Rattus norvegicus: one gene and its partners. The protein of the gene in region 1 interacts with the protein of each later gene in a biochemical or structural test. Links are inferred from orthologs where the notes say so. Each region holds a gene or a part of one and is shown in the gene's direction. Other genes may lie near its edges.

Evidence for each region.
Region 2: the proteins of Esr1 (region 1) and Flii form a complex in vitro, tested with the Homo sapiens proteins (2 studies listed by BioGRID). The link is inferred for Rattus norvegicus from reciprocal best matches to the Homo sapiens genes ESR1 and FLII.
Region 3: the proteins of Esr1 (region 1) and Prmt2 form a complex in vitro, tested with the Homo sapiens proteins (2 studies listed by BioGRID and IntAct). The link is inferred for Rattus norvegicus from reciprocal best matches to the Homo sapiens genes ESR1 and PRMT2.
Region 4: the proteins of Esr1 (region 1) and Grip1 form a complex in vitro, tested with the Homo sapiens proteins (2 studies listed by BioGRID and IntAct). The link is inferred for Rattus norvegicus from reciprocal best matches to the Homo sapiens genes ESR1 and GRIP1.
Region 5: the proteins of Esr1 (region 1) and Ahr form a complex in vitro, tested with the Homo sapiens proteins (4 studies listed by BioGRID, with this or other methods). The link is inferred for Rattus norvegicus from reciprocal best matches to the Homo sapiens genes ESR1 and AHR.
Region 6: the proteins of Esr1 (region 1) and Foxo1 form a complex in vitro, tested with the Homo sapiens proteins (2 studies listed by BioGRID). The link is inferred for Rattus norvegicus from reciprocal best matches to the Homo sapiens genes ESR1 and FOXO1.
Region 7: the proteins of Esr1 (region 1) and Ccnd1 form a complex in vitro, tested with the Homo sapiens proteins (2 studies listed by BioGRID). The link is inferred for Rattus norvegicus from reciprocal best matches to the Homo sapiens genes ESR1 and CCND1.

The regions. Positions count from the first base shown.
Region 1 is NC_086019.1:43,644,190-43,647,689, forward strand, and holds part of Esr1 (estrogen receptor), read left to right. Parts: intron 1-161; coding exon 162-699; intron 700-2,547; exon of another isoform or gene 2,548-2,772; intron 2,773-3,500.
Region 2 is NC_086028.1:45,904,692-45,908,668, reverse strand, and holds the start of Flii (protein flightless-1 homolog), read left to right. Parts: upstream 1-1,177; 5' UTR 1,178-1,199; coding exon 1,200-1,262; intron 1,263-3,162; coding exon 3,163-3,273; intron 3,274-3,536; coding exon 3,537-3,608; intron 3,609-3,977. UniProt on the Homo sapiens protein: Is a regulator of actin polymerization, required for proper myofibril organization and regulation of the length of sarcomeric thin filaments. It also plays a role in the assembly of cardiomyocyte cell adhesion complexes.
Region 3 is NC_086038.1:12,400,815-12,404,314, forward strand, and holds part of Prmt2 (protein arginine N-methyltransferase 2), read left to right. Parts: intron 1-2,830; coding exon 2,831-2,956; intron 2,957-3,500. UniProt on the Homo sapiens protein: Arginine methyltransferase that methylates the guanidino nitrogens of arginyl residues in proteins such as STAT3, FBL, histone H4. Acts as a coactivator (with NCOA2) of the androgen receptor (AR)-mediated transactivation.
Region 4 is NC_086025.1:57,224,451-57,228,684, forward strand, and holds the start of Grip1 (glutamate receptor-interacting protein 1), read left to right. Parts: upstream 1-1,434; 5' UTR 1,435-4,234. UniProt on the Homo sapiens protein: May play a role as a localized scaffold for the assembly of a multiprotein signaling complex and as mediator of the trafficking of its binding partners at specific subcellular location in neurons.
Region 5 is NC_086024.1:57,988,902-57,992,401, reverse strand, and holds part of Ahr (aryl hydrocarbon receptor), read left to right. Parts: intron 1-1,526; coding exon 1,527-1,714; intron 1,715-3,500. UniProt on the Homo sapiens protein: Ligand-activated transcription factor that enables cells to adapt to changing conditions by sensing compounds from the environment, diet, microbiome and cellular metabolism, and which plays important roles in development, immunity and cancer.
Region 6 is NC_086020.1:138,461,671-138,465,773, forward strand, and holds the start of Foxo1 (forkhead box protein O1), read left to right. Parts: upstream 1-1,303; 5' UTR 1,304-1,408; coding exon 1,409-2,020; intron 2,021-4,103. UniProt on the Homo sapiens protein: Transcription factor that is the main target of insulin signaling and regulates metabolic homeostasis in response to oxidative stress.
Region 7 is NC_086019.1:209,517,811-209,521,310, reverse strand, and holds the end of Ccnd1 (G1/S-specific cyclin-D1), read left to right. Parts: coding exon of another isoform or gene 1-62; coding exon 63-227; 3' UTR 228-3,023; downstream 3,024-3,500. UniProt on the Homo sapiens protein: Regulatory component of the cyclin D1-CDK4 (DC) complex that phosphorylates and inhibits members of the retinoblastoma (RB) protein family including RB1 and regulates the cell-cycle during G(1)/S transition.

The DNA.
Region 1 (3,500 bases):
CAGGGGCAGGGGCAGGGGCAGGGGCAGGGGCAGGGGCAGGGGCAGGGGCAGGGGCAGGGGCAGGGGCAGGGGCAGGGGCAGGGGCAGGGGCAGGGCCAGCACTGGCGCCAAGGGGACCTGCGCTGAGCCTCTTTTAACCTCGGGCTCTACTCTTTTTCCAGGTGGCTCATCCGCTGCTGAGCCCTCTGCGTGCGCGGGAAGCCAGTCTGTACCTCGGCGGCTGCCACTGACCATGACCATGACCCTTCACACCAAAGCCTCGGGAATGGCCTTGTTGCACCAGATCCAAGGGAACGAGCTGGAGCCCCTCAATCGCCCGCAGCTCAAGATGCCCATGGAGAGGGCTCTGGGCGAGGTGTACGTGGACAACAGCAAGCCCGCCGTGTTCAACTACCCCGAGGGCGCCGCCTACGAGTTCAACGCCGCCGCCGCCGCCGCGGCCGCCGGGGCCTCGGCTCCGGTCTATGGCCAGTCGAGCATCACTTACGGTCCGGGGTCCGAGGCGGCCGCCTTTGGTGCCAATAGTCTGGGGGCTTTCCCCCAGCTCAACAGCGTGTCGCCCAGTCCGCTGATGCTGCTGCACCCGCCGCCGCAGCTGTCGCCGTTCCTGCACCCGCATGGCCACCAGGTGCCCTACTACCTGGAGAACGAGCCCAGCGCCTACGCTGTACGCGACACCGGCCCTCCCGCCTTCTACAGGTACCTGCACCACTTCGGGGTAGCCGCTGTGTCCGGTCTGGCCTGGGGAGGGAGCGCACGAGGGGGTCATCGCGGGCTGCAGATCGCTCCCTCCCACCCTTCTGGGAAGTCAGGAAGGATTCTTTGCGGAGCCCGCCTTCTCTCTATTGGCGGCTTTAAAACAACAATAACAACAACCCCAACCACAACAATGTTCTCCTCCGTAGCTATCTTGTGGGAGAGTCAGACCCAAAAGGCCCCGTGTTCCCTAACTGTACAAGCATTGGAAAACAGTCTAAAGAAGTTATTTATGGGGCAAGCCAGCTAAAGCTAGCAAACCCCCAGGTCCAAGTGGTTTGTGCCACTAGCAAGGAACCCCTTTATTATTTAAAGCTGGAGGTGTTTGGGATTAGTGGGACTCAGGGAAGATTTAATAGTTTTTTTTTAATTTAATTGTTTCATGGTGTCGGGTTCAATGTTGTTTCTACTAGATAGAGTTTTGGACTGGCAACACTCAAGGTATACAGGAAAAGATAGGGTTTTAGGCAGAGGTGCCTACAGATCTTTTCCCCTCTCTTCCCCATTCCGGGGTTCTGGATTGAATTCTGGCCTCTCAGAAATGCTGGTACCGGAGTTGAATGGGTCTCAACAAGTTTTGATTTATGGTTGAGTTCGAGCAGATTGCTGGCATAGGTGTCCTATGTGTTTACAACATACCACATTGAGGCACCGGCACAGTAATCCCCTACAGCTGAGTTACTTGCCTGGCCCAGCAGGCAGAGAATGCGCTGGAGTGGCACTCAGGTTAGCTATGGCCCGCACCCCCCTCCCCCCGCCGGCACTGTGCCAGGGCAGTCCAGGACACAGGGGAATCCAGGACACACAGACTCTTCATGACCTAAGTGACAATTGTTTTGTGTCCTCAGTTTTTGTTTCTCCTAAGAGAAATTTTTTTGACACCCCTTCCCCGCTTTCCTCTCATTTCCATTTCTTTTCCTTAAGGGCCAGCAGAAGGCTTAGGTGGGTGGGTCTGGTAAACACCTGTTAGAGTTTCACGGGCCAGGTACAAGTCTTTGGGTGCTCACAGGCTGCTGAACCAGAACTAGCCCAGTGTAGGCAGGCTTTGGCCACTGGCTCAGTGTTCTCTTTCCAGATATATTTATAGTAGAAGAAATAGGACTAAGGTGCGGCTTGGCCCCAGAAGACACCAAAGGATGAAATCATGGTGTATCCCAGCTCACCTTTAGCCCACCCAGGAAACGAAAGGATCAGACAGCGAAGTGGGTCCAGGCCCAGATTTCAAACTCAAAATCAACAGTAAAGGAAACTTTAAAAAAAATTTTTTTTTTGTTCAAATTAATCTCAGTTGCTTTGATTCTGGGTTAAGTCGGAAGAGGCAAATGCTTTATTCTCTAGATCCCCAGCACCCCTCTCCCGCCCTGCAGGCTAAAGGAACAAACTACGGCGATTAAGTCTAATTCAGACTTTAAAATTTTCTTGCTGTTAAGGATGGTATTGGTAGAATGTGAGTTCCATAACCTTATGGTGGAGTTCCTAAAGTATTTTCTTTTCCATTTAATTTCAGTTCTTTTATTTTTGCAAATTAATGCCAGTGCATTTCAATGGGAACTAATGAGGCTGCTCCTTGGCGGGTTATTTACTGCCTTGCTAATAATTACAAAGTGAACACGGGAAAGAGATCACATTTTATTCAACACCGCTTAGCTTTTCTGCGGCAAAGACTCTTACCAGAATATACCCTATCTTAAACTTTTATTCCAAATGATATTCAGGTCCTTCCCCCAACCACCCCCCCCCACAAAAAACCAACAATGAAAAGAGATTCTTAAAATAAAACTTACACACAGGTGGAATCTGGGTAGAAGGATTTTCTCATTTGGCTTACTACTCAAGGTGAAAGGGATATATCCATGCCAGTAATGAGTGTTTTACGGCAGCTGCTGCTACTTCTTCTTCTTCTTCCTCCTCCTCCTCCTCCTCTTCATCCTCCTCATCCTCTTCCTCCTCTTCTTCCTCTTCCCCTTCTTCTTCTTCTTTTGAATAACCCCGGATTTTTAAAAAATTGAACAAGCTCTTAAAAGAAAAAAATCGAACAACTTTACTCTTCCTAAGTACTTCTCAATAGTTTGGGGGCTGAAAACTGTCTTTTAAAAATGTTTCTCACGATCCAGTAAATGACAAAGTCACTTTACCAAGTTTAAGTTTTAAAAATAGAACAAACCTTAAAAAATATTGTCTTAGAGTACATGGTATGCATGCAGTCAGGGCAGGTTCTAACTTTCGGAGTCTATGGATGCTAGACTGGTGAAGCCATGTTATACTGTGTGAGTCGAGGCCACAGAAGTTTGGAAGATACAGGCCTAAAATATATTTAGGAGAAAACAACACATTTAGGTAAGTCATTATAGTTTTATTTATATAAACAAAAAATCTAATTTGTCCATCTTCATTTTATTTTTTCCATATATGTTGCCTTGGTATCTGTGAGCAATTAAGAACTAAGACTTATTATTTCCAATGGTGGAATAGGGCTGCTTTGTGGGTTCTTCTCCTGTACATATCCCAGTGGGCAGCAGGGATGTTCAGGGAATTTGGGTGAAGCTTAATTTACTCAGTGTCTACATGCTGTGGCTACTTTTTCCGTTGGCTACAATGTGCAGCCATATGAGCAGATATAGCAGGTAAAATAGCTCGGGGCATGTAACTAAGTGAGAAACATTGTCACCTGTCGAGGTGCCTTGTTAATGGAGACACGATCTGTTCGTGATCAACAAGCTGTGGTTTTGTAAGCTGTGTTTTAC
Region 2 (3,977 bases), on another chromosome or scaffold:
GCTCCAATCGGAGCGCACAACTCCTGCGCACACGTGCTCAAAACTGAGCAGCTCAGCCAATGAACACCAGGCACGCCCTGGACCTGGGGGCGGAAACCACAGACACTCCGGATTTAAAGGCGCAAGGTTACCTTGTAAACCCAAGGTGCGGGGGAAGTAGTGAGTGAATGACAATCGTCCAGGGCCTGCTCTAGTTTTACTTTGGGGGTGTTTTGTTGAAGAAGGGCCTCACACTAAAGCCATGACTGACATCGAATTCTCTGCAGTCGTGCCTTAGCCTCACATCTGACCTTGTGTGTACTTGTAGTGGGAGCCTCAGTGTGGAGAAAGCTGTCTGAGCTCACGGTCCCTTGATGGACCAGGCAGACAAAACTGCACCTAGCCCAAAGGCCCACATTCTGTCTTTCAAGTTTGCCCCTGCTAGAGTGACTGGTGGTCTCATTTCCTTTTGGCCCGCTTGGCACACACCGGGAAAAGAGCTCTGTTACCTGTTGTGCGAACTCTACCAGTCTCTTCCCTTCTGAAACACTGGGTGCCAGTCCCTGTACATCCATAGAACAGCTGTGTCTGTTTATTGGAAACCTACGATGTGCAGGCCAGGGCAAGATGGCCACTAACAGCTTAGCTGACGAGATATGCTGGTCTTCTAGAGCATGAAACAAGCCTATAAAGAGCACTGGCTAGAATCCTGAGGCCAAGGGAGAATTTTGAGGGTTTGTGCATCCTGCTCTCTGACACTCCTGAGTACTCACTTGGTTCTGACAATTTTGGGAAGCATGTTACACACGAGCAAAGTTGAGTCCAAAGATGAAGAGCTAGGCCCAAAGACCCGGAAGTCTCACCACCACCACGGGTCCCTCACGCAGAGACTGCCTGTGTCCCTGACGTTGGTACCGAAATCTCTCCGGGATCACGGCCAGCTCAGGGTCTACAGCAGCCCAAGCAACAATGCCTGGACCCGACCCTCCACGTTGCGACTGGAGACTGGAAGTGGTGATCGTCTCCAGCAGGACCCCCGCAGGCCTCTCCAGTCCCACAACTCGAGGCCTGAAGCTCTGGGAGTCGCCTAGCAGCACTTCCCGCAGAGGCCGCGGCCGGGAGGAGGCGCGCGCGGGTTAAAGGGGCGGGGCCGGCGCTGACCCAGCCCGCGGCTCCCGGCTACCCTGCGTCTTCCTAGCCCATAGGAGAGCTACGCCACCATGGAGGCCACCGGGGTGCTGCCGTTCGTGCGCGGCGTGGACCTCAGCGGCAACGACTTCAAGGTTAGATGGGGGGAAGGGAAGGGCGACCCCTAGTTCGTCTCTCCCGGCCGCTCCCTCTACGCTTCCGGCACCGGCGGGCGGGGCGGGCGGGCGGGCCTCGGTGAGTCTTCCCGGGCCTGCCCCGCCCGCGGCGGAAGACGTGGGCCGGGGCTCCGGGATCTGGGGCCGCGCGGGATTTGAGCCCACAGGCCGCGAACCTGACCCCATGCCACGGAGGGAATACGCCCTAGCCAGCCACCGCCCCACACTGCGGTCTCGAGACGTCACTTCTCCCTTAGCAAACCTGGGCTTCTCTCCTCCCCAAGGGGCTTAGGAACAGCCCGTTTGGAGGCGTATAAAGGAAAGAGATCTGTTAGTAAGGATTGTGACAGGTGCTTGAGGTCCTAGGCGGCACGTCTGCCAACTGCTAGATTGATGGGCTAGGGGGATAAGCAGCCAGCACCCTGGTTGACCATAAAGAGTCAGGCTATGGGCGTGGTGGTGCACGCCTTTAATTCCAGCCCTCCGGACGTAGAGGCAGGTGGATCTTTGATTTCGAGGTCAACCTGGTCTTCAAACCAAGTTCCAGGACACCCATATCTACATAGAAAAACCCTGTCTTGAAAGAAAAAAAAAGTGCCAGCTAGTCTCAGACCCGAAAACAGGAAAGCTGGACTCAAAGGACAGCTCAGAGGCCTGGACCTTCACTGCCTGGCGTCCGCCCCTTTTGATGTCAGATTGGGGGACGCAGGAGAAGGAGGTGGGCTCCTCCCGTGTTCACCTGCACAAGGACACGTTTGACCCTGTACACAGTTGTCACTTTACCCTGTCCACATTCTCACCATCCTTACCTTTGGTTTCTCTAGTCTCTCTCAATTGAGAACATCTGAGTCTCACTTTGGGGGCTGTGACTGGAGGAGGAGGAAACAGCAAAAGGCAGTTGAGCTTCATGCTGCTCAGATGTCAAAACTGCCAGGTGTAGCCACCAGGAGGTGGTGGCAAATGCTTTTAATCTCAACACTGTGGAGGCAGAGGCAGGCAGATCTCTGAGTTAAACCTGGTCTCAGAATGAGTTCTAAGACAACCAGGACTACACAGAGGAACCCTGTAATTGGAAATTGCAGGGAGGACAAAACCATAGCCTGGTGTGGTGGTACAGACCTTTAATTCCACAGCATTAGGAGGCAGAGGCAGGTGGATCTCTGTGAGTTTGAGGCAAGCCTGGTCTACAGAGTGAATTTCAGGACAGCCAAGGCTACACAGAGAGAAACCCTGTCTTGAAAAGCAAACAAAGGAAAAAGCCAAGGATGCTGAAGCGGACATTGCCTGTGAGGAACGAATGAATGCGAGAGATTGTGCGAGGAACAGTGGGGAGCTGGGCTCTTAGTGCAATCTGGGGAGTGTCAGGGGCAATATTATCTCAGACAGCCAAACTGCCTAGAACCCTGGGGGAAAACAACATGAGTGCCACTAAGTACAGTGGAGCACTGAGTAGCCCTTGAAACAGGCCAGGCTTGACCTCCCTGAGACAGACTCCAGCTGGAAAGACACGTTTGGGCCAGAACTTTTGTCTTTCCAGGGCTTTCATTTAGTGCCATTTTGTGAGTAAGGAATAAGAATAAATACAGGGCTGGAGAGATGGCTCAGTGGTTAAGAGCACTGACTGCTCTTCCAGAGTCCTGAGTTCAATTCCCAGCAACCACATGGTGGCTCACAGCCATCTGTAATGAGATCTGGTGCCCTCTTCTGGCCTGCAGACATACATGCAGGGAGAAAGCTGTATGATGTATGTATAATAAATAAATATTTTTTTAAAGAAAAAAGAAATAGAAATACAGAGTATTCCTCTGGGGACCACAGAAGGTAATGGGAGGGGAGCGCTCGTCTCCTAGACTGTACTCACCTTACTGTCCCCCACCAGGGCGGCTACTTCCCTGAGAATGTCAAGGCTATGACCAGCCTGCGATGGCTAAAGCTGAACCGCACAGGTCTCTGCTACCTGCCTGAAGAACTAGCAGCTCTGCAGAAGCTGGTGAGGGGCGGGGTAGGACGGGGCGGGTCCCCATCCTCAGGGCTAGGCCAGGTAGGCTTACCCTGCAGGAAAGAGGAGTCACTGGAGAGGAAACAGAAATAGCTGTGGGCAAAGCTAATGGAGTGGAGTGGGCACCCACCTGGGAGGTGTGCAAGGAGGGGACTCTTGGGGTGGCCTTCCAAGATGGTGCAGGGACAGGGGCAGTAGGCAGGGGCCGGTCATCTTAGGTCCCCACCTGAGCCTCTGACTCTTGTCCTGTCCAGGAGCACCTGTCTGTGAGCCACAACAATCTGACCACGCTTCATGGGGAACTGTCCAGCCTGCCTTCACTTCGGGTGAGTGTTGGCCAGGGCTGTGGTAGGGTCAGGCATGGGGCAGAGACGCTCTGCCCTCCTCACCTCTGCCTGTGTTGCTACAAGAGGGCTCCTTGTGTGCAGGAGCTCATGAATGGGAGAAATTTCTGAGAGAAAAGCGAGGACATTCCAAAGCCCACTACCTCCTCGGACAGTTGTGAACACGGCAATGTAAGGAGAACATGGTGCTAGGCCACGTTAGTGTGTCGTATGTGCCTTCTAACCTACCTCATAGGTAAAGACTCCTGGCCATGCAAAAGTCACCCCCCAGGCAGCAATGTAGCTATGTGACTGGGCCGGGGAGGTGGCCTGAAAATCAGACTCTAGCCAGCCTTACAGGCTTCAGTCAGG
Region 3 (3,500 bases), on another chromosome or scaffold:
ATGGGCTCTTAGCAATTAAAACAGGCCCGATACATGCTCAGAGAATCCTGAATGGCCACACTAAGGCAGGCAAGTGGAAATGCAGGACAGTAATTGGCACCCTTCAGATGGGCACAGAGGAAGGGATCAGCGCCTGCTGTTAACGAGGGACACGCCTCCTTTGTACTTACGGTCAGTGGGTCAAGTCTCCATCTCACTGAGTCCTAGTGCAGTCCTGGGGGCCCTTAGCGTTGTAATAAAAGCCATAGAAGTGATGGTCTTGGGCAGAGTGTGGTGGTCCTCACATCTAATCCTGTCACTTTGGAGGGGAAGGCTGGCACTTGAGGTCAGCCCGGTCTACACAGTGTGTTTTAGGCCAGCCAGAACTACACAGCGGACCCTTGTCTCAAAACAACGCCCTCAGACAAGAAGAGAAAGGTAGCCTTGACCAACTTTACACTTTAAGAATTTATCCGCAGGAACTTCTCAGGTGCATGCAAGATGATTGGCGTTCAAGGAAATTAATAATTGATAACAGGAGAAGCTGGGAGTAGTGTGTATATTCCAACAAAGGAGATTGGATAAGTAAGCTCAGATAATTCATAGACTGGAATACTACACAGGTACCAGAAATTTTTTCCTTTAATACTTCTGTGCATTGGTGTTTGCCTGCGTATATATCTATGTGAAGATATGTCAGATCCCCTGGAACTGGAGTTACAGGCGGTTGTGACATACCACGTGGTGGCTGGGAATTGAACTCAGGACCTCTGAAAGAGCAGCCCGTGCTCTTAACCGCTGAGCCATCTCCTTAGCCTGGAAATGTGATGTTTTTGTTCTCCAGGCTGTACATCCACTCAGGCAAAGCTAGACTCTTGACTAACGAGGAAAAGAATGGTTGGATGAGTCAGAGCGAACCCAAGTTAGTGCATTTTCTAAGCACATTTAGGGAGAGTAGGTTTTGAGAGGGGAGATGTGTACATCTGGGCTTTTGAGGTTACATTGTTTAAAGCATGTAACTTCCAAGAAAGTTTAGAGACTAAGCAGTTTAAAAATTAAGTGGTGTTAAAAAAAGACTTGAGCTGCATTACGCAGGTGGCGCTACGAGGCCCCCACACTGCTTATAGTTAGGGTTGGCAGAAATGCGTTAATGTGGTAAAATTTAAAGGCCATAACCATTCGGGTCCTAAGGAAGCATGGTTTGCTGGTTTTAGTGTCCTTGTTTAAGGTATCGTGAAGAAGATACACATTATCTCTCAGGTAGTTTTGATTTTGTTGGTTGTATTGAAGTCACTGGTTTTTAAAAAATCTTTCATTTTTTTATTTTATGTGTATGTTTTGCTTGTATGTGTGCATGTTTGTGTGCAGTCCCTGCAGAGGCTAGAAGGTGTCAGACCTCTTGGGACTGGAGTTTCAGATGATTGTGGGTGCCAAGTGGATTGAACTTGAATCCTCTGGGAGAACAGCCAGGACTCGCTTAATCACCCAGCCGTCACTTCCACCCCCAGTATGTCTTTAAGGCGTGTTTACTCTGATAGACGGTGGCTATAGGGCACAGGCCATAGACTCGCAAAGTCTCAGCCAGGCTGCTTGAGCTCTGTTTGCAGTAGGGTGGAGGATTATAGCAGTTTCCAGCACCTTCCGTAGGCTCTTGCTCTATCTGCCTGGTGCCTTAGGTCTGAAGAGACCCCTGGAGTCCGACAAGCTGTGGTATCTCTGTCACTAGTTGAGTGTCACTCTTGGGAAGCAAGCTGATAAAGCTGAGGGCCAGCACCCACTTCTTCCTGCTCCCGTAGACATTTTCTCTAAGTCACCCTGTCTCGGAGATACAGAGGTAGACCAAAGGTGAGAACGCTCGGTGGTTCAGATTGTTTGAATAACAAATACTTTCTCATTTGAATGTCTGAAGCAATCGAGAGAGAGAGAGAGAGAGAGAGAGAGAGAGAGAGAGAGAGAGAGAGAGAGAGAGGCACGTACACGGACAACAAAGCTCAGAGAGAGAGAGATGTGTACACGGACAACAAAGCTCAGAGAGAGAGAGAGAGAGAGAGAGAGAGAGAGAGAGAGAGAGAGAGAGGCAGAGGCGCGTACACGGACAACAAAGCTCAGAGAGAGAGAGAGAGATGTGTACACGGTGTACACGGACAACAAAGCTCAGAGAGAGAGAGAGAGAGAGAGAGAGAGAGAGAGAGAGAGAGGCACGTACACGGACAACAAAGCTCAGAGAGAGAGAGAGAGATGTGTACACGGACAACAAAGCTCAGAGAGAGAGAGAGAGAGAGAGAGGGGCACGTACACGGACAACAAAGCTCAGAGAGAGAGAGAGAGATGTGTACACGGACAACAAAGCTCAGAGAGAGAGAGAGAGAGAGAGAGAGAGAGAGAGAGAGGCGCGTACACGGACAACAAAGCTCAGAGAGAGAGAGAGAGAGAGAGAGGGAGAGAGAGAGAGGCAGAGGCGCGTACACGGACAACAAAGCTCAGAGAGAGAGAGAGAGATGTGTACACGGACAACAAAGCTCAGAGAGAGAGAGAGAGAGAGAGGCAGAGGCGCGTACACGGACAACAAAGCTCAGAGAGAGAGAGAGAGATGTGTACACGGACAACAAAGCTCAGAGAGAGAGAGAGAGAGAGAGAGAGAGAGAGAGAGAGAGAGGCGCGTACACGGACAACAAAGCTCAGAGAGAGAGAGAGAGATGTGTACACGGACAACAAAGCTCAGAGAGAGAGAGAGAGAGAGAGAGAGAGAGAGAGAGGCGCGTACACGGACAACAAAGCTCAGAGAGAGAGAGAGAGAGAGAGAGAGAGGCGCTCACAGTGTTGTCTTTCTGTCTGTCCCTGGCGGTGGTAGGAGGAAGACCCTGTGGACTATGGCTGTGAGATGCAGCTCCTTCAGGACGGGGCACAGTTGCAGCTGCAGCTGCAGCCCGAGGAGTTCGTAGCCATTGCAGATTACACCGCCACCGACGAGACACAGGTACCTGTGTTTGCTCCTCATACCTTGACTGAAGGAATCTCAGAATACCTCGCAGCGGAATTCAGGAATTCACGTTCACAAGATTAAACGAGACCCGCGCATGACTGTTCACCTCTTATCCTAACACACTGCCCTATCTGGTGGGTATAGAGATGCCCTTCAGGAAAACACCTCCCTGCTCGGAGAACTTGGTATAGAACCCTCCTGGTCCCAGAACAGCGAGGCTATCAAACCGTCCTATGCTCTTGAGTCTGGTAGGAACACGTCTGTGGAGTCTCCTAACTGAATCAGACACACATAGCTAGCTGCCTGCCTTTGATTTTAAAAGCGTTAGGTAAAGGCTGGCAAGATAGCTCAGTGGGTATTGGCTGACAGCCTGAGTTGGATCCCTGGAGCCTTCATGGTAGAGAGAACACTCTGGCCTCAGTACACATACTGTGGCAAATGTATGTACATGTACACACACGCACTCACGCACTCACACACACACACGTACGCACGCACACAGGCGAGTACACAGAATTTTAAGAAAAGAATGTGGATG
Region 4 (4,234 bases), on another chromosome or scaffold:
AAAGCTATGTGTTCCTTTCTGACTCTAATCGTTTTCCTTAATAAGGAAGTAGATTCAGAAATGGCTGGTGTCATGCAGTTTAGAAATAATGGCTACAAACTCCCCCGCTCCTTCCCTACGCTGTGTCCATAGAGAATTCCACCAAGCAAACGGACTTTTTCTCCTCATTACCCAGTATTTTAAAATTCCATTTAATGTATGCTGCCACCGTGCCAACGAGTGGCTCCAATGCACACGCAGAATCCTCACGTGCTGCTTGCCGTTTTCCCCCAATTAGTCACAGTGTATTAAAGTGAATGGAATCGTTCAACGTCTTCAGGCAGCTATTTTTGCTGAAGTGCTTGTATCCACATCAGAAGAATGGCGACCGTGAGCACTCCGACTTGGAAATAAAGAGAAATTGAGAATGTTAAGGGAAAAGTGAAATGACACAGGGAGAGGCGCGATCCCTGGAGGAGAACACAATAACTCTTGAAGCTTAAGACGTACAAAATAATTTAAATTTTGCTGATGCTTCCTCTGCAGCCTCAGGCTTTCCTGGTTTCTAAAGAAAGTTCTGGGATGTGAAATGAACCAAGTATTGATCCTGCTTTACAGTAATCCTTTCATCTCTGGGATGTGAATTTAAGGAGATTAGTGCATACAATGAGTAAAATTCTAGATGCCTCTCTCTCTCCCTCCCTCCCTCCCTCTCTCTCTCTCTCTCTCTCTCTCTCTCTCTCTCTCTCTCTCTCTCTCTCTGCCTGTGTGTGTGTGTGTGTGTGTGTGTGTGTGTGCCCGTCCCTGTTCCCGTCCCTCCCCTCCCTGTCTCACTCTCGTGTTTAATATTTCCCAAGATGAAGATCCTACCTTTTCACTTGGCAGGATAGAATCCCCTAGAACAGATAAAGTACACGTGTTCTGGGTGTGGGGGTAGGGGAATTAACACATAATTGTGAGTGGCTGGGCACTTTCCCCTACATATTAGGCATTTTATACATATGAGCCCCTTTAGTCCTTTTGACACTTCTGTGAGTTGGGTATTATTAGCAAGGCTGCTTTAAAGATGAGGGAGGTCAGGGGCAGGAAGGTCAGTACCTTTTCCAGGGTCATGCTGTCAGATCTAAACCCAGTCAGTCGGGTACAAGGACCAGGCTCCTAACTTGTGATAAATATTGCAAACAGATTCGCTGAATATATGAGCAGCATTCTGAAGGGAGAATTCAATTCTCAAGTGTACAGGTTGCCAACTAGGTCGACAACAGAGTGTAGTACAACACGGGAATATACTGATCTGAAATATGACAGGCCCCAAACTGCAACCTACCGGCTAGCTACCGTGTTTGTCCCACCCCACACCATGCACAGCCCTTCCCATGAATCATGGAAAAATCTCAAAGGAATATCTTTGATCTATAATGTCATATGGGTTTCAAACGTTTTCTATTCCTTTAATTTTTAGAAAAAAATTTGTTATTATTGTATGTTTATGGATGAGTGTGAGCATGAGTGACAAGGGTGGGGGAGGGGATAACTTTGCAGCCAGTGTGGGTTCTAGGGATCAAACTCACATTGCTAAACTTGTGTTGCAAGTACCCACTCATACCTTCTGAGCTTCTTACTGGCCCTCTTCCTATTTATAAAATTTTATTTACTTGTTTATTTATTTATTATTTACTTACTTATTTTAGAGGGCCCTGTGTATCCAAACCTAGCCTCAGACTCTCAAACGTTCTGTACAGAATGCTTCTGCCTCTAGAGTGCTGGATTCCAAGCATGTATCGCCGTGCCAAGCGCTGTTCTGCACTCCTAATGATTACTATTAGCTAATCATTATGATCGATGTAAGCAATCTTTCAAAGAATATATTTCCTGTCACAATATCTGCCCACAGAGATAATGTGTGAAGTACATCCATTCGGCCATCTCTACTGGGAATACTTAAGTTGCTTCTCCTTGACAATATTCTACTAAAATTCAAACTCCATCTGGGCATGGTGTCACATGCCTTCAATCCTAGCGCCTGGGAGGCAGAGGCAGGTGGGTCTCTGTAAGTTATAGGCCAGCCTGGTCTACAGAGCAACGCAGGACAATCAGGGCTACACAGAGAAACCCTGTCTTAACCCCTGTTCCTCCCCCGCCACCTAAAAAATTCAAACTCCGCAGCACATGTTTGTAGTTTAGTTTCTGAAAGTTCATAACTTCCTACAGTTTGATCGGGTCTAGATAACATCTCCTTAGTAATAAGCTTTATTTGATGAACAGCTTCCTTGGACAACCCTACAGGATGAGCATGTCACTGTGGCATTTCTTGTTCCTCTGAGGCATGCTACAACATCACCATTTGCAACAGTATGGATAGGATATCTTCCAATGACTGATATTGAGGCTTGGACCCCAGCTCCTGCTGCTATTGGACTGGATGGGACCTTTAAAGATGCAGCCTATAAAAAGAAGTCATTAGGGCATCTCTGCAAAGGGGACACTAAGCCCTTTGTTCTCTCTCTTGCTTCCTGGCATCAATGAGCAGAACTACTTGGCTCAGTTCAACATCCCCCATCATGGCTTCCTACTTCAACCCAGAACCTGAAAAACCCATGGGCTGAAATGTGCAACCTGCGAGATAAAGAACACCTTCCCCTTTCTCAGTGGACTATCATAGATAGCGGTTAATAGTACCTGAAATCTGGCTAACACTGCTAAAGACAGACTTTGGCCCGTACCAAATCCCACTGGCCAGACGCATCAAGGGGCTCTTCAAGAGGGTCATTCTATCAATGGTTTAAAGTGAACTGCTTGTTGCTGACAGCTGTACAGGTTGGGTAGATACCCCAACTGAGGCCTGGAGTCTCCCACCAGGGCATTAAAGAATGGAAACTAGGATACTTGCTTCATCAAAGAATGACAGGCAGAGACGACATGCTGAGGCATGGTGAAAAAAAAAAAGTCGGCTCTGTTCCTCATTGGATATATTCTCCCAGATCTCATCGAACCTTTCTGTGGCCCTCTTCTCATTTTCCATTAGATAGATGGAATCTAAAAATCATCACTGTTTCTGTACCCTTGCTATCATCTTCTCTCCTCAGGCGATGACTCACGGAAATCTCATATGTCTCTGCAGAGTTGCATGTGCAGTTTTGCTCTTTAATGCCTCATGGTCCTTCTTCCTGACATCACTATTTCCTCCATTTCTGTGTGCCTGAAACTTTTCTGTCAAAATCTCGTTTAAATGCCTGGAGTGAAACTTTCCCCAGGTCCTACCCCAGTGATAATGTCTCCTTGTGTTCTGGACTCTCTCTTGACCATTGGCCACATCCTATCTGGGTTGCATCATTTTTGTGTTGCTTTGATCTTTCCTACTGTGCTCCAGGCTCCTGGTGGGGAAAAGGATGTCTGGTGTATCTGGTTTTCCTTTATGGTGCTTAACATAGTTTCTCAACAGTTCTGTGCTCAGGTGAATTGAATCAGAGAGGGAGACTGAACTGGGTTTACATCTCTGGAATTTCTCTCTATACAGGTTTGATACACTCTACTGTCTGAGTCTGGCATACCCTAATATAAGAGGGACAGAGAGCCAGGGCTAATGGCTTTCTTTCCCCTCCTATTGGCAAACTCTGTATTTCTCATGAATCAGGTTGTCTCCTAGTAGATGGTACACCCTGAGGAGTTCATAGATTGAATGCATCTTTAAGAACAATATCAAAGAGAATCAAGCAGACCAACTTCAAACAGGAAATTGCAAGGGGAAATATCCAAAGGCCCCACAGTTTGATTTACACTTAGGGGATGTATTGATTTTTTCATGGTTATTAAATATGATCCTCTTCTTTTACAAACCAGAAGGCTGCATGTTCTCTTTGCTCAGCCCTCTGTCAGCCTACATAGTGGAAAACAATTTGCATTTGCTGTGAGTATAATACAATAAAAACCCCACAAAATTCACTTACATTTATAGATGGTGTTCAATTTTCATAACTGCTATTGTGCCTTCCATGTTGATTTCCTAGATTGTTCTATAAATCTTTAATTATCAAGTTTCCTTTTTAAAAAGTGCTGCTAGGCAGCTGCTGAAGCCTATTGTAAACCTGTGAACTGTAGACACATACTGTATGGCCTGCTGCCAAAGACTTGCTATACACGGACCAGGAAGATATCCCAAGTACGGTCGAGGGTCTCTCGGATTCTCATCAACTTCCGGTTAGGTGTGCTCAGCCGTCTCTGATGGAATCCTTGGCTCCATGGCATTACTACATTC
Region 5 (3,500 bases), on another chromosome or scaffold:
CCAAGGATATCAACCCAATATGGCATAAGAAATTGCAATAAGACTAGGCACAAACCCTCACTCCTATCAAGGCTGAACAAGACAACCCAGTAGGAGGAAAAGGATCTCAAATGCAGACAAAAGACTCAGAGACACCCTCATTCACTATTAGGAGTCCCACAAGAACAGCAAGCTACACAACCATAAAGTATATGCAAAGGTCCCAGCTCAGACCCATCTAGGGCACATGCTTGTTGCTTCAGTCTCTGTGAGCCCCTGCGAGTCCTTCATTGATTCCATGGTTAGTGTTCTCATGGTGTCTTTGACCCGTTGGCTTCTACAATCCTCCCGGTTTTCTTCAGAGTTCCCCTGGCCTCACCTAGTGTTTGGCTCGTCTAGCTTTTTTGGCCAAGACTCCTGAGTGCGTGTCACTCCACTGTAGAAAACTTGATTTTCTTTCTCCCAGCAGCTATCAAGTACAATAGCTTCTTAGCTAGAGGTTAGATTTCACGTTGACCTCCTCTCCTCCCTTGCTAGGGCTTTGTCTGGCTTGACCTTTCCTAGGACTTGTGCACATTGTCACAGTCTCTGTGGGATGTTAGTCCCCTGCCCTGTTATGCCTGAAGTCATCCACTGTCTTTGGCTCTTAGGATATGTCCCTTCTTTCACATAGATCCCTGAGCCATGAGGGGAAGGATGTGTTATAAACATCCCAACCAGGGTTGAACACACTTCTTATTCTCCGTCTTTTTGCTGTATGTTTGCCAGTCGCGGGTGTGTCTGTTAATGGCTATCTCCTACAGAAAGAAGCTTCTGTGGTGAGAGTTGAGCAATGCACTTATCTGTGGGTGTAGCAATAAGTCATTAGGAGTCATTTTATTACTATGTCCATTTAAGAGTATAATAGTAACAGGTTTTCCCCTAGGGTCCTATCTAGCCACAGGTTCTTGGGCTCATTCATGGTGTCAGGTCCAGGCTCCATCTCATAGAGCAGGTCTGAAATCCAATCAAAGAGAGAATATCAGTGGTTCTGTATTGAGGTCATAAAAGTACCTGTAATAACAGCATAGTTAATCTTACTTAGTCTGCGTGAGAAGACTAAGTAAAATCTTTAGGGAGAATCAAGGAAGTAGAAATTTGAGAATCTGTGATTACCAATATGTAAATGATTAACTAGGCAAGTGACTAGACATCATACTTTCTAAATCCAAACGCATGTTTTCCAGTAGTTTTTCTAGGTGAAATTTGCCTAAAAATGATTTTTTTACTTAAAGGCTTTTTCGGTATGAAAATGCTTCAATTGTACAACTCAGCAGTTTTAGTATATTTTTGCATGAATGTTACAGATTTCTTTGTATTTTTGGTGGTATTATTATCTGACACTTATTTCATAATTGTGCTAGTGAGAAAAGCTGGCTCGCAGTGTAGTGGAGGGGTTTATTGGGAAACTCTTCGTGTTTCGTGGGTAGAGCAACCCTTGAGCAGATGTTTTAATGTAATAGATACTTTTGCTCTGTGTTTTCTAAAGGCTTTTCTTTGTGTTTCAGAGTAAAGCCCGTCCCTGCTGAAGGAATTAAGTCGAACCCTTCTAAACGACACAGAGACCGGCTGAACACAGAGTTAGACCGCCTGGCTAGCCTGCTGCCCTTCCCACAAGATGTTATTAGTAAGCTGGACAAACTCTCCGTTCTAAGGCTCAGCGTCAGCTACCTGAGGGCCAAGAGCTTCTTTGATGGTATGTCGGCACGGTTGACTTTTATAGCAGTAACTCACAGTATGCTAATGTCAAATATGGTCCTTAATATTGGTGACAATAAAAAACTGTCCATGAGCGCAAACGTCTTTCTTGTCTTAGAAAATAATGGAGTGACAAAGCTAAATGTATAACTGTTATTAACTCTCTCTCCTGTCTCATTCACCAGACAAATAGAGCCATTTGGATGATACATAGTAACATTCTTTATAAGTCATGTGTTTAAAAGTTATACTCAGGTTTCATTTTTAAAAAGAAATCATAAAGTACTGTGATTGGGGGTGGGGCTGGCTCAGTGGACAAGAGAGGATTTGGTGTGTAAACATGAAGAGCTGAGTTCATATCTCCAGTGCCCACTTAACGCGTTGCCTGGCTTGACTCTAACGGTAGCACTGTGGGAAATAGAGACAGGGCTCTGGGCCTGCTGGCTGCCAGCTTTGTGGGTTCAGTGGGAATGAGGCAGGATGATAGGGATGGACACACAAAACCTTACTCTGTCTCTCTCTGACACACACACACACACACACACACACACACACTTCTCTGACATACATATATACTGTCCTTCTCCCTCTTCTTCCCCTTCTCTGTCTCTTTCTCACATACACATACATACACTTCCTCTCCCTCTGTCACGCACGCACATACACATACACCTGCTCTTTCTTTGACATTCCTCCCGCCCCCCTGTGCTCTTACCGTCTCTCCCTCCTCTCCCCTGTCTCCTGTCTCCTCTCCCCTCTCTCTCTGACACACACGAATTAACACCCGCCCGCCCACGCTGCCTCATAGGAGTAGTAATGTATTGTTCCTGTACTTTCTGTATGGAATTCATGGAGTCTTTCAAAGTTATACGGACTGCTACAGCTTTATGTTAATGTATGTTAGCATCAAGGAAATGTGGTTAAAATGGTTTATGATCAGAAAGAACACTTGAATATGGTTGGACAGTGTTGGATTTCATTCTGCACAGTGCCACCGTGTGACTTTAGTCGTGCCGGGGAGCACCCTGTGCTTCAGCTGTGAACGCACTGAGGGTGGCTGTGGGGCTGTGTGGCCGAGTGCTGCTTATTACATATGAATTTCCAGCATCGATCACTACGGAATCTCTAAAACGGAGTTCCTATTTGAAATTACTGTTCTGACATATTTTGTCATACAAAATAACTCCTTAATTATCTCTTACATGAGTTCTGGGGATTTGAACTAAAGACATCCTCCTTAAATAACAAGGAATCTTCCTCGCTAAGCCATTTCCCAAGTGCCTTATTTTTTTTTCTTTTTAAGTCCATAAATCAAAAGTTAATTATTAAGGATCGTATTCCTTCACAAATTGTAGCAAATGGATTAATGCCAAGATCTCAAACTGCTGTGCACCTAGGCATCATGGTGAGATGCAGAAGTTCCCCCTTCTGCAGACTCAGATGATGCTAATGGTAGCATCCGAGTCACCAGGCAGCCCCTGCTCATCTCTGTGTCTTAGAGGACTGTGTAGAAAGTCATTCCTCTTGGATTTATGTTTGTATGAGTTGATGTGTTTGAGTTGAGCATGGTTGTATATTTTCTTGCCACGTGTAATTTTTAACAATAGCATTCTGTCAGGGCACACAGACACCTAGAACCGTGATTTCATGTGGTGTGCAGTGTACATGAAATCTCACAGCAGTGATTTAATTTAGTTCGTAGTGTGCACTGACTCCTAAAGCCGTCATTCCGTGTGGTTTAGGATGTACACTGAGTTCTACAGTAGTAATTCCGTGTGGTGTAT
Region 6 (4,103 bases), on another chromosome or scaffold:
CCCGGGTTTGGGAACTTAAAGAACTGGAGAGACGAGCTGTGCCCCAACAATTGTGGCTTATCTCCTTTTGCGACTTCAACACCTCATCGCTTCCATTCTCAATAAAAAAGAAGTAAGCAACCAGTTAAATTTAATTAGGGGCAATAAAGTGACAAGATTGTCTCTAAACACTCTCCTCTGACCCTTTAGCCACCACTCTGGTCCTCAGGAAAAAGTGAGATTCTCGTAACAGGAAAGAGGTTCCATAGAAGACTTCAGATCTGAGGCGCTACTGGATCTAGGTGCTTGTGCAACAGTCTTCTCCCCGCGCCGCACCTCTTTTGGGTTCAGGATGACTGGAGGCTGGGGGCTGGGGCTGGGGCTGGAGAACCGCGGAGGCTCGGCTTGCAGGTGTGCACAGGTAGGGTGGGAAGGGGAATCCGGAGCCGCAGAGCGACGGATCTTCACCGTAGGATCTTCGTGCCTGGGGCGGCCCGGGCAGATGCCAGCTTAAGAAAACATTTCTCCAAAACAAACCCCACCGACTTCCCGAGAGCTCCGCGAAGACGCGTGGGCGGAGCGGGCTGAGTGGAATCCACGAGGCGCCCCACCGCCCACGTCGCGTCCGGGAGCGCGCAGCGGCTCCGCGCCATCCCGGGAGTCGGGGTCTGGGCACTGCCTGGAGTACTCGATTGCACTCCGTAGTAAACAAAAGTATGGTCGCCGCCTCCACGCCGGTTTGCCTCCTAGCAATCCGAACACTGAGGCGCCAGAGACTCAGAAACACTTGAGAATTACAGAAAATAATAACGGAGATTAGAAAAAAAAAGTGTGTGAGAAAGAAAAACACCCCGCTGCCCCCCACCAACCTACTGCCGCCTCCCGAGGGAAAGGAGCTCCCTCCCAGGCCCGCGTTCATTGGTTGTCTAGGCAGAGACTTGGCGCGTCCATTGGTCGCGCAGCCTGTCAGTCAAGGGCGGGGCGGCGCGCGCGCCGCCGCGGGCGGGGAGCCGCTGCAGATCCCGTAAGACGGGAGGCTGCGGAGTCGCTGCAGTCCCCGCCGCCGCCACATTCAACAGGCAGTAGCGCCGCTGTCGCGCGGCCGCGGGGGAGAGAGAGCGGCCCGCGGCGTCCGCCGGTCTGCCCTTGCGTCCGCGGCCCTGTCATCAGGAGCGTGGTGCCCGAGCTGCCGGGCTCCGCGGCCTGGTCCTTGCCCCGTCCGAGGCACGAACTCGGAGGATCCCCGACACCGGTGACCCAGCGAAGTTAAGTTCTGGGCGCGTCCGTCCGCTGCGCCGCTCCTCGCTCCGGCGTGCGTCCGCCGTCCGCGGCCCCCAATCTCGGAGCGACACTCCGAGCGCCGGCTCCGCGCCCCCGGTGGCCGCGTCTCCTGGTACTCTCTGCTGGTGGGGGAGGGGCGGGGGGCACCATGGCCGAAGCGCCTCAGGTGGTGGAGACCGACCCGGACTTCGAGCCGCTGCCTCGGCAGCGCTCCTGCACCTGGCCGCTGCCCAGGCCGGAGTTTAACCAGTCCAACTCGACCACCTCCAGCCCGGCGCCGTCGGGCAGCACGGCCGCCAACCCCGACGCCACGGCGAGCCTGGCCTCGGCGTCCGCTGTCAGCACCGACTTTATGAGCAACCTGAGCCTGCTAGAAGAGAGCGAGGACTTCGCGCGGGCACCGGGTTGCGTGGCCGTGGCGGCCGCAGCTGCCGCCAGTAGGGGCCTGTGCGGGGACTTCCAGGGCCCGGAGGCGGGCTGCGTGCACTCGGCGCCGCCGCAGCCCCCACCGACCGGGCCGCTGTCGCAGCCCCCACCGGTGCCTCCAGCCGCCGCGGGGCCACTCGCTGGGCAGCCGCGCAAGACCAGTTCGTCGCGCCGCAACGCGTGGGGCAACCTGTCGTACGCCGACCTCATCACCAAGGCCATCGAGAGCTCGGCGGAGAAGAGGCTCACCCTGTCGCAGATCTACGAGTGGATGGTGAAGAGTGTGCCCTACTTCAAGGATAAGGGCGACAGCAACAGCTCGGCGGGCTGGAAGGTGAACGGCCTCGGGGCGGCCCGGGGGGGTGGATTTGTTGGGGCCCGCCGAGGGTCGGCCGTGTGGGTGTTCCGGGCCCGGAAATGATGGGCGCACGGAGAGAGCGGGCGAGAAATGGCAGGTGTGGCGGGGGCTTCCCCGAGACCTGGAGCCAAATTTGGACGAAGTGCAGGCGAGGGAGTTCTAGAGGGACCCCGGGAGGGCTTGTTTGAGAACTTAAGTGAAATGCCAGAGCAGGCTTGGAAGTTGGCTAGTTGTTGGAGTAGAGGGGCTGGCTTCGAAGGGTTCGCCACTTGACACTCCGGACCTGCGAGGGGTCGGGGCGACTCCTCCGCCCACATGCGCACCCACTCTCCCGACCCTTGGCCGACGAGGTTCCCTCGGACCCGACAGCAGAGGTGACGGGAGCACTGGAAACATTCCCCACGCACACGCGGGGCTCCCGCAGCTGATGGGTTAGCTAAACGCGCAGCGTGCTGAGCGCTGTGCGGGCCAGCAGTTGCCGAAGGTTCCCCGAGGCCGGGGCAAATTTGGTTTTTTTATCCAAAGTGGCCTGAATCGAGCGTTCCCACTTGCTGGGTACGGTTTCTGACGCGCGCGCAAGTGGGTGGCTAAGGTTTTTAGGCTCTGGGCAACCTAAAGTTCAAGTGTGACCCTTGGCCGGGGCGGGAGCAGGCGAGGAGGGGAGGGACCGGGTGTACAGGAAGCCAGAACCTTTAAAGGGCCAGTGCCTCCAGGCTGGGAGGCCACACTTTTGCGCTCAGAGAAGGGCTTCCACAATTGGGCTGGCTTGGGGAGGTATGCTTTTAATTGAAAGCCGAGTCGCTGTTGTGTGTGACCAAATTGTGCATGAGTGTTGTGGAGTGATTTCTCTTCCCATAAAGCTTGGGGCTACCCACGACCTGGTAAGGCTGGGAGCTGTGAGTGAGTATTTGGTGGAAGTCTTAAGTGGGGTGCTCACTGGGGAATTGCCAAAGACACCTGCCTTGAAGGAGGATTGCAGACCTATAAATTAGGTGTTTAAGATTGTTGTTTGTTTACCTTTCCAAAGGTGGCAGGGAGAGACTGAGGCGACTCAGTGTGGACTGTGGCATCTCTACCTTAGGGGTTTGGGGGTGGTATAAGGGCCTAGGGCATTTTGGGAGGAGAGAATCTTACCTAGAAGTCCCTCTCGAGGTGTGGCCACCCCTGGCTGACAGTTTCTCAGTCACAGGTGGGACATAGCTTTTCTCCCACCTGGTCTCTGCTGTATAGCAGAACAGAGATTAGCCTTCACTGCATGCTTGTTAGAGCGAGGTGGTTTCACATACTCTGTCATCCCTGTGGTTAAAGTATCTTAAAGGTCAACTTACTCACCTCATAGAAAGTTCTTGCAGAAAGAGCCAGGGGTTGTTTTATTTTTGCCACAGTGTTTTAAAGATATATACAACACCTTATCCTTGTGTAATATTACCAAGTGTTCCAAAAAGCAAATTACCTATTTTTCATATTCTAAGAATTCACAAAATAGTGGTTGTCTTTAAAATCTAATTTTACTTAACATTTGACTTTAAGTACCTGACTGCTTTACTTGTTTATGGGGCTTCAGCTGTTACATAGAACATTTGCCATTGCAAACAAAACATCCAAACAAAAAACCCTAAACCCTCTGGGCACCCAAAGTACAGTGTGTACTTAACACCATTCTTTTATGTTCTTGGAAAGGGACACAACCTACCTGAGTTTGTGGGAGTGCCTTGCTTTAAGGATAAAGGTAATGTTTTGGGGTATTTTCGGACGGCACTGTGAAGATGCTCTTGAGAACTATAACTTGATTTTAGAAATTAGTTCTTAGAAAAATAGGTTATATCATATATCTTTTTAGTTGTTTTGCTCCATTCTTCTGATTTCTTAATGTGATAATGATTTATGTATTAAATTTTTTTTCCTCGTTGGCACCAAGAACAAGCGCGGGCTTTTGGGGGGGGGGGAGGTGAAGACAGACCGAGCCTTTGCTGCCTGAGTGGCCAGTAAGCTTTAGAAGGGGCCACTGCACTTTGAGAGGAGTAGATGCTTGACTGTAAGAGCTGGTCGGTCGGGGTAG
Region 7 (3,500 bases), about 170 Mb from region 1:
AGGCCCTGGCCACCGGCCTCTGGCTAAACAAGGACTCCCTCCATCTCCGCCCGCCTCTCCAGGACTGCCTCCGTGCCTGCCAGGAACAGATTGAAGCCCTTCTGGAGTCAAGCCTGCGCCAGGCCCAGCAGAACATCGATCCCAAGGCCACCGAGGAGGAAGGGGAAGTGGAGGAAGAAGCTGGTCTGGCTTGCACACCCACCGACGTCCGAGATGTGGACATCTGAGGGCCACCGGGCAGGCGGGAGTCACCAAGTAGTGGCATCCGCGAAGAGAAAGGAGCCAGCCCGGGTGCTCCTGACGAGGTCCCCCTTGGGGATGTGTTGTTACCAGAAGGGGAAGTTTTGTTCTCTTTGTTGGTTGTTTTTCCTTAATCTTTCTCCTTTCTATCTGATTTAAGCAAAAGAGAAAAAAAATACCTGAAAGCTGTCTTAAAGAGAGAGAGAGAGATAGAATTCGCATCACCCTGAGTATAGGGAGACGGGGGGGTGCTACAAAAATAGAATTCTGTACCCCAGTAATCAACTAGTTTTCTATTAATGTGCTTGTCTGTTCTAAGAATAGGATTAACACACAGGAAGTCTTGAGAAGGATTTTTGATTCTTTTATGTGTTTAAGAAAAAAAAGCTTAAGAAACATTGCTTTAAAAAAAGAAGGAAAAAAAATACAGCAAACCATTGTTAAAGTAGAAGGGTTTTAGGTAGAGAAATGTACTCTGCTTTGCTGAAAAGGCACAGCTTTGGCAAGGTCCTCAACCTCACTCCCCTGCTTGTTCAGTGCCTACAGCCCTGTTACCTGATGATACCTGTGCTTTATCCCAGGAGTGGGCAGACCTCTTAACCTTACTGATGGTCGATTCGACCTCTAGCGGCCTCGTGGCGTGTGGCACCCTCCAGGGCTCATGTTATGGGCCCTCTGCCCCCCACAACCTGCAGGTTCACAGAGCGCCAGCCAGCCACGCAGCGGTAGGGATGAAATAGTGACATAATATATTCTATTTTTGTAACCTTCCTGTTTTGTAGTTCCTGTTTAGAGAGATGCTGGTTTTTGCCTGGTGGCCCTGCAGCCCACTCACATCAGGTTGAACCCACAGCTTTTCTTTTGTGTGTGGTTTGTTTTGTTATGTTTTCCTTCTCCATGTTCCAAAACCATTCCATTTCAAAGCACTTTTGGTCAGCTAGCTGGAGGCAGTGTTGCTGGGTGTGTGTGTGTGTGTGTGTGTGTGTGTGTGTGTGTGTGTGTGTGTCGGTGGGGGAGGGGGTCTAGTGGAATGGTTGGGGGATGTCCACACACTCAATTCTGATGGCTGCACAGCAGGTGTGTAGGGCTGGTAGCATGAGGTGCTTGGGAAGTTTTGTTGGGTCGAGAAGAGAAAGCTCTGTTCTCGTACCACCGGGATCTTCCTGCAAAGTCGGAGGGATCTTTTGGTGCCAGCTGGCGTTTGGAAGTAGGGACCGTGATGGCATTACCTGGACAAGGGGATTCAGGACGACTCTTAAGTCTTTCACACAGGAGGCTTTTAAACACTAAAATCTCTAATTTATACGTAAGGCTACAGAAGAGTATTTATTGGGAAGGTTGCCCATGACCCGTGTGACTCAAAGCAATGTGATCTTCCCTTGATTCAAACGCACACCTTCTGCCCTGCTGGCGAAGGTTTAGGGCCATGTCTGAGAGACTGGTCTTTTATTGGGCAAGTGGGGGTGTCCTCAAAAAAAAACAAACCACAAAGACGGAGATGTGGTCTCCTTGACTTTCCCAACCCAATTGGCCCCATTGGAGAGCCATCCAAACTGAGGAAAATTAGGGGACTCCAAAAGAGTCTTGAGTCTGGCACATTCTTGCCGCCGCTCCCAAGTTAGCAACAGTAGGTAATTTGCACACCTCTGGCTCTGCCTTTCTGTTCAGGATGTGTTGGTGGGAGGTGGAGAGCGGGTGGCTGGAGAGGGGATGTGAGAGAAGAAGTATGGAGGGTAGGGACCACACGGGACAGGCCGCGGCTCCTTTCACAGCGCTGCTACCAATGACTCCCAGGATCCCCGGCGTTCGGAACCAGATTCACGTTGCTTTGTATCTTTCATGTTGTTTTCGCTGCTATTGGAGGGTCAGTTTTATTTTGTTGTTGTTGGTTTGTTTGTTTTTTTTTTACAATGTCATAAACTGCCATGTTCAAGTTTTAATTTCCTCGTAGAAGAGTGTATTTACAGATGCCCTTTTTTGTACTTTTTTTTTTATTGTGATTCAATTTTGGATTAATGTGATTACCGCTGTATTCCCAAAAAAAAAAAAAAAACCACACACACACACACACACACACACACACACACACACACACACACACACACACACAAACAGGTTCCTGTACACAATACCTCATGTATCACCTAGCCATGCATAGGCCTGGCAGGCGGGTGGGGTGGTCTGCCTCCAGGGACCCTGGGACCCTGCTGGGGATCATCCTGTCATGCTGGGCCTTCATTTGATCTGGGACATAGCATCACAGCAGTCAGGGCAACTGTGTTCTGTTAGTTATCAATATTGTTACTTGTAGCGGCCTGTTGTGCATGCCACCATGCTGCTGGACCCGGAGAGATTTGTTCTGAGTCTCTGGTGCATCATTTAATCTGTTAGGTTCTAGTGTTCTGTCTTGTTTTGTGTTACTCACAGCATTGTGCTAATGTAAAGCCAGCCGCAATGCTGTAGGCCCCAGGTTCCCTAGCAAGCTGCCAAACCAAAAGGGTCACCACCAGCTTAGCTGAGGCGTCCCAACCAGGCAGGACCCTTGAGGGCTGCTGTGTCCATGGTGATGGGGTGAAGTTTTGGCCAAAGGGCCAAAGGCTGGTGGATCCACACAGTCTGCCCTGTGACATGAATGGCTTTGAGGGGCTCTGGCTGGTGGTCAGGTTGGCTTTGTGTATTCTGGTTGACACACCATGGCGCTTCCCAGCACAGACATGTGACCAGCATGGTCCAGGAAAAAAAAAAAGACAAAAAAATCTAGAAATAAAATTGGTAAAATCCCAGCTTGCTGTTGTGTATTTTCTTGGCCCTAAGGACAGGAGTCGGGGGTGGGGGGAGGTATGCCATCCTGATCCCAGAGCCATGTGGGATCCAGCCTGTCCTCTGCACCCAGGGTGTTTGGTAGCATCTCTGGCCCTGGCACCAACCTGGGACTCCCAAAGGGAAGGGTGTTCGCGGGTGGCAGCCAAGAGCAGAGTGAGAGCCACTGGCGTCAGGGAGACCAGTGGCGGCCACTGATCAGAAGCGGCTCTCAGCCTGTCGCTGCCAGCTCACCCTCTCGCTTATTTGCAGATGGAAGATCAACAGAGCCGGCGTTCACTGCCCCTCGTCTGGCGCAAATGGGTGTTTGCTCTGGGTGAATCACCGTTCCTAGGTGCTGCCAAGCGCCCAGAGAGCTAATGCTTAGTGTTAGGGCCAAGACCCAAGGTGGCCTTTCACACAGTCCCAGGAGACCTGAGTGACCTGGCTAGACTCCTGTG